2 linked regions of the Canis lupus familiaris genome follow. The protein of the gene in region 2 binds, or shares a complex with, the protein of the main gene of each other region. Links are inferred from orthologs where the notes say so. Each region holds a gene or a part of one and is shown on either strand. Other genes may lie near its edges.

Evidence for each region.
Region 1: the proteins of ABCC9 (region 2) and KCNJ8 are in contact, whole or in part, in a cryo-EM structure (PDB 7MIT), measured with the Rattus norvegicus proteins. The link is inferred for Canis lupus familiaris from reciprocal best matches to the Homo sapiens genes ABCC9 and KCNJ8. Residues at the interface, in XP_038963045.1 of Rattus norvegicus: Phe5, Ile10, Tyr13, Asn14, Ile15, Val19, Asn22, Cys24, Phe25, Ala28, Leu29, Val32, Val35, Phe36, Phe39, Phe42, Pro43, Ile44, Phe46, Ile47, Gly48, Trp49, Gly50, Ser51, Lys55, Gln57, Ile58, Asn129, Phe130, Lys132; in NP_058795.3 of Rattus norvegicus: Met1, Leu2, Lys5, Ile7, Ile8, Pro9, Glu11, Tyr12, Val13, Leu14, Ala15, Arg16, Ile17, Ala19, Glu20, Asn21, Leu22, Leu45, Ala46, His47, Lys48, Asn49, Gly54, Arg55, Phe56, Leu57, Asp59, Ile60, Thr62, Thr63.

The regions. Positions count from the first base shown.
Region 1 is NC_049248.1:21,155,191-21,157,864, forward strand, and holds the end of KCNJ8 (ATP-sensitive inward rectifier potassium channel 8), read right to left. Parts: intron 2,299-2,674; coding exon 1,398-2,298; 3' UTR 657-1,397; downstream 1-656. UniProt on the Homo sapiens protein: Inward rectifier potassium channels are characterized by a greater tendency to allow potassium to flow into the cell rather than out of it.
Region 2 is NC_049248.1:21,323,075-21,326,904, reverse strand, and holds part of ABCC9 (ATP-binding cassette sub-family C member 9), read left to right. Parts: intron 1-1,316; exon of another isoform or gene 1,317-1,377; intron 1,378-2,686; 5' UTR 2,687-2,706; coding exon 2,707-2,848; intron 2,849-3,830. UniProt on the Homo sapiens protein: Subunit of ATP-sensitive potassium channels (KATP). Can form cardiac and smooth muscle-type KATP channels with KCNJ11. KCNJ11 forms the channel pore while ABCC9 is required for activation and regulation.

The sequences.
Region 1 (2,674 bases), about 170 kb from region 2:
AGTAACCCGAGAAACAATTTCCATTCATCTGGGTAGAATCATGAGTCATTTGTTTAAGATAAGATTTGAATATATTAATGATTACCTGCCTATTTCAAATGTTCATAAATGAAGTAAAATGAATACAACCCCCCAAACCTGTGTAAAAGGCCATATAAGAGCTCAGTTTTCTGATGTTCAACTATGTGAAACAGAAGAATAAACCCAGTCTCTCAACTTAGTGCTTCTTTTTGCGTCTTCTTCCCTTCTTTGAAGAAAGAAGAGCTAAGGATGATTAAACCAAGTTTTGATAGAAAAATCTCACTTTAGCAAGTGCTATCATGCTAAAGCTATATATGCCAGGCCTGAATTCAGGAAGAGCATATAGTTTTAAGATAGGAGGTTGGAGATTTAAAGAAAAAAGGTTATGTGATTTCCATGATACATCAGGCTCAGATAGAAGAGCTAGGAAAACATTTCAAATCTTGGAAGGAAATACAATCAAAATGAAACAAAAAAAATGTAGTTCCCTTGGAATAACCAATTTCAAGGACAGGAATGTCTGAGAGGTGTTATCACTGTATATCTCTTTCACATGCCTCTAAAATTTTTTTTTCTTTTCTTGAGCTTTGAATAGGGATAATTTCGTGAAAGAGAAATCACAAAACTACAGTGAGTACGAAGAAAATATTTTAATAAAATACTCAATACAGTATTTCCCTGTAGGGGCTTTTAAGAAGTGAGAAGCCAAAGGAAATAATTGCCACTTTTGGGAATCCAGTCCTAAATGAGACAGGAATGTTCTTAGCCTTTCTCCAAAGCTCTTTGCCCAGTTCCGCCAACAGGCTGCCATTAGGAGGACGAGGAAACCTGCAAAGGTCACTGTGAAGAAGTGACTGAACACAATCTGTTTAGAAGCAGCCAGAGATAAGCAGTTTTTACCTCTGGCTTCTTACCAGATGTAGTATCTGGAAAAAAAGAGAGGGCTACATACTAGCTGATACAAAAGGTGTTAACAGCATACTTTTAGGGTTCCCCCTCATCCTACCTGCATTTCTAGAGGGCCAACGGAAACAGAGAGATCTGTGGTTTCAACCACTAAGCATTTCACACAGAGTCATTCCTTGGCCAGCTTTTGTACTCAAGGTCTATTCCTATTACTGTAATCCTTGGGTTTCAAATTGAGAGAAACAAGAGCATACTATTTCCTATACACAATAGAAGAATATCACTGCAAATACTGCACATATGAAACAAGTGTCAGCCATGAATCCTCCATGTTGTGTGTTACTGTTTATTGACACAGAAAGTGCTGTTGCTTGAATATGAGCATCTGGTGATAGAAGGATAAATTACTGTGTTCCCGCTCTAGTACAGTCTGACAGTGCTTTGCATAAACCACCAGGTGTGTCTTGCTGTCATGATTCTGATGTGTTCTGATTTCCTTCTGGAGTCATAAATTGCACCTTTGGCACCATGAGGGATGAGTTGTTCCTTCGGATGGAGTTGTTTCTCCTCATAGAATTGTTTCTCCTCATGGAATTGCGCTTCCTCAGAGAATTTTGATGGGACAGCTCACTCTTCTGGAGGGTCTGAATCAGGATGGAAGGCTTCTCATCCAGCTCTCGGGCACTGCACCTGGGAGCAGCTACTTTCACAGTGTTGCCAAATTTAGAGTAATCCACAGAATACACTCCCTCCTCCTCAGTTACAATAGACACAAAGCGATGGCCCCATTGGATCTCTTCAGCGATATAGGAGGTTCTCGCTTGTGTGGTGATGCCAGTAGTTTCGACCACTCCTTCCAGAATCACTATGACCTCTAGGTCTTGGTTGGCGAGGTCAGTTGCTGAGATGTCGTACAAGGGGCTGCGCTTGTCAATCACATGGCAAATGATCAGAGGGGCCACCAGAAAAATGTTGTTACTCTCAATTGGGTTATCAACAGGAATGTCCAGCTGGTGAATGGGCACCACCTCCCCTTCGGGGGTAGTTGTCTTCTTGACCACCTGGATGCGCACTGAGGCACTGATGATCATGCTCTTCCTTAGGTCCCCCACACGGAACATGAAGCACAGTTTGCCATTTCGGACAGCAATCACTGCATGGCGGCTGAAAATCAAGGTCTCTGCCCTTCTGTGAGCCTGAGCTGTTTTCATAAAAATGCAGCCCAACATGACTGCATTGATTATCAAACCCACAATGTTCTGGAGAATCAAAACTGTGATGGCCAGAGGACATTCCTCTGTCATCATTCTCCCTCCAAATCCGATGGTCACTTGAACTTCAATGGAGAAGAGAAAAGCAGAGGTGAACGATCTGCAAGGAAGGACATCAAAAAATAGTGCCATCAGATCAAATTTTGAACAATGAAATAACATGCCAAGCTGAATTTTCCATTTTCTCCCTCCAAAGGCTATTAAATGCTTTTGGAAAGACTTGGCCACTTAACTTGTCAAATGTCTGATTCTAAACACAAGCACTTTCTCTCTCTATCTCTCTCTCATTGGAATGCGTCTACTTCCAGACTTCTGGGAAACGGTTCTATTGTTTTCTATGTCATGTAACGATGGACCTACTTATAGGAAAGCATTAAAATAATAAGTTAAAATAATAAACCCATACTTGTATTTATAGGCATATTTTGTGAAATACTTTCACAAAGGCGTAGTTTACTTGGTGAAACTTCCTACCA
Region 2 (3,830 bases):
ACAGAGACAAAAATAGAAGGAGAGAGGTGGTGAGAGGTAGTGAATAGGTTGGGAGCCCCAGGGCATATCTTAGAGATAGTGGTAGAAGGAAGAAATTCTGAAGCTTTCACTTTATTCATCTGAAGTGTATACCTTAGTGTGATTATATCATTTATATTTCCCTGTCTAGTAGATCATAACCTTTACATTATACCAAAACTATTGGAATTAGTGTAGTCCGATTTATGCGGCCTAAGACCACAGCTACTATTGGTCACGTACATTCTTAGATTCCTAGTGCCTAGCACATGGTCAGCATCAACAAGTATTTTTAGAGTTAACGAATGGCCTAGAATCCCAGATAATCAGGTACATGGCTAGAAATGTTCTTTGACTTTCTCAGGTTGCTGTAGTTCTCTGCTATTTTCTTTCCACCACTATATGCGTTTATCCAACATTTACTTGATTGGTAGGTTTGAGGATTGCTTAAATATACCAGGTAGGCAATGCTTATTATAGCTAATGAAGTATATGTTTTACAAATTCAGATATTACTTTAGTATTTGGCTCAATGACAGTGACTAAATATCAGTATTTATAAATGTGGCCAATTGAAATATTATAATTTCGGATAAAATTATAAAACTGGCAAAAGTAAAAATTATTTTCTGGTCCATTCTAGGAAACGGTTTACACATGTCTTTCAATAAGTGTGGACTCAAGTTTCTTTTAGTCATTTCTTCTTAATAAAAGAGATAGTCTAAAAAAGTGAAAGAAAAGAAATAGTCTTCGAAGTTTCATTACTAGCTATTATTTTTCAGCTTCTGGGGTTCCCCCCCATTTGTTTTCCTGATGTACATTTCTGTACAAGATTAAGGTGTACAGCATGATGGTTTAATTTAGTATTGTGAAATGATTACCACTGTAGGTTTAGTTAAGATCTATCACTGTAGCTACAGTATATAATACAAAATTCCACTTTACTGTTATTTTAAAAATCTCAAGCCCTTTTAAATTATTTTATGAGGCTGGGAGGCTTAATAGCTGCTAAGAATTTGCCAAGCATATACCCTCATCTTGAGTTTTTTTAATATAATTTTTTAAATTAGAAAAGGTCTCAACTAGAGATCATATCAATGATGTTCAATAAAAGGGCTTACCAGAAACAATATGTGAAAGGAATTCAAAATAAGAATTTATATACTGTAAACACAGGCTTTTAAACTAGTTCTATTCATAGAATGCTTTATAAAACTTCTGCTTGAAATTTGGTTTCTCCGATAGCTTACCTACTGTTGCCAATCTTTTCTGTGTAACACTCTTTGGTTTCTTCCTAGGGAACAATATTGTTCATGACCATTGCTAAATCATTTCTCAATGAAAGGGAAGAGAGAAAAGGTACTACTTTACTTATTTATACCTTTGCCAACCTTTCATAATCCAATTCAGAATCCAGTGTGACATAAATGTGGAAAAGAAACAAAGTCCAATGAGGTTAAAAATCTTAACCTGCTACTTCTTTTAATGACAATAGATGAGATGTTATTTAAAAATAGGTTGGAGGCTGCATGATGCAGTGGGAGAAACAGTTTAAGTCAGACACATGCGTGTAGATCACCGCTACTCTACTGGTTGGCAAGTTACTGAGGCTCTTCTGTAAAACACAAATAACTAACATTGCATGGTTGTCCTAAAGACAAAGTGCCCAGAATTTGGGAGGTGGTAAATAAATAGGAGGAATTATAAAAGAATTTTTCAGAAGGCTTAAAACTCTTCAGAATTTCACAGTGGTATTTTGATGGAGCAGATTCCTTGCTCCTGTATCACCTGTTTTGGTGCAGCAACAGGAGGAATTCATTTAAAATGTGAGTAGCAGTGTGTCATTCCTCTGATCAAATCACCCCTCAAAGAGTCCACTTCATTGAGTAGAAGCCCAAGTCACAACAATGGCTAGCAAAACCCTGGGATACCTTGTCCTCAGTTTCCTCTCTAAATTTGTCTACTTCTCCTCTACTATAATATTGGTTTCCAGTTAAAAGACTTTTTTCTTGCTTCAAAACTTGATTAGAGTACATTTCATGTAAGAATGTTCTCTGATTGTGGGACGTGATTTCATTAATTGAGTTATTTTTCTCAAGCACTTGATTTTATATCTGAAGCACTTGATTTTAATATTCTTCAGAGAAAGGCTGACTTCTGTTTGCTGCCACATTGGTTTCATATATTAGTATTCCTTTGTATAGTTAATGAAAAGTGGTGGTAAATTTTGTCCAGTTTAAGCAGTTTACTAATTCATTTTCAGTGAGAAAAGATGAGCAAGGATTTGATATTACACTATTTTGTGGTATCAGTTAGTGGTTTCACTTATTCTTTCTTTTTCTTGATATATCACCGTTTTTGTTCTGTGAAATCATTTGAGTCACACACACACTTCTTTAAGGTACCATCATTGGTAGATATTAATAATTATATATTTTCCAAATTAAAATAAAATATTTTTCTCTGAAAAAAAAAGATTGAAAGGAAGTGATTTATAGAATGTATAAGGGCTTTATAAGAAACTCTCAAATGACTTTGGCATACAGTTTCATTTCCTCAATTGCAGAAATAAAAGGGGTTAATTTTATAATAACACCTCCTTCTTAGGGCTATGATTTTATGAAAGGGAATTTAATGAGAGGCTCTTTCTTTTTTCTCTTCCTTTTAGAGTAAGCCATATAAGAAGAAATGAGCCTTTCATTCTGTGGTAACAACATTTCTTCATATGATATCTTTGATGGTGTGTTACAAAATCCCTGCTTTGTGGATGCCCTCAACCTGGTCCCTCATGTCTTCCTGTTGTTTATTACTTTTCCAATATTGTTTATTGGTAAGTAATCTATTCTCCTATATATCCTCACCTAATATTTCTTTTAATATTCTTATTAAAAGAATAGTTCCTTTAATATTCTTATTATTTCTTAAGAAATAATGTTCTTTTACCAATTACATGAAAACTGATATGTAAATCTGTGAGAAAAGAACAAGCCAGTTTTCTGTGCTTCTCAATTATTTATGTTCTTGGCATATGACATTCTGTAGATAAAATAGAAGTCATATGTCTTCTTAGAAGTGGACTCCAAGTAGCAGCAGCAGTTTTTTGGAAGGAGGGAAAGAGAGTTATGTGGGATAGACTGAAGTCTTTGTTGAGATTGCTTTGTGTTAGTGAAGAGAATGAAAAATGAGTAAAACACAGTATTGCCTGGGATATTCACTGGAACTATCCAGTGAAACAGATGTATCAAACTCAAGAGAAAAATGACTATCCCGCATTGTAAGCTCATTTGCAGGTACATCTTGGGCATTAACTTGCTAGAACAACTAATTCTTCGGGCCAGTGGGAAAGATTGCATGGAAAGTGACATTTTGGGGGAGCTGAGGACATAGAGCGTGCGAGTAGAAGTAGGAGTAGTAAGGGTGCATTCCAGTTTGAAAGAATACTTACGCAAACTATTTGGAAAAGAGCTAAAAAAATACAATTTTCCTTATTATTTTACAGTTTACAAATCCAGTTATTTAGATTATTGATATATAACTTATTAACTTCCCTGAAACAATCAAAATAGACCTCTTAACTTAGAAATTTTTTAAAAATAGAAGTGCCTGGGTGGCTCAGTCGGTTAAACAACTGCCTTTGGCTCAAGTCATGATCTCAGGGTCCTGGAATAGAGTACCTTCTCAGGCTCCCTGCTCAGCAAAGGAGTCTGCTTCTTCCTCTCCCTCTGCTCCTCCTCTTGTTCATGTGTGCATGCTTTCTCTCTCAAATAAATAAAATCTTTAAAAAATTTTAAAAATACGTTTCACATGTGAAA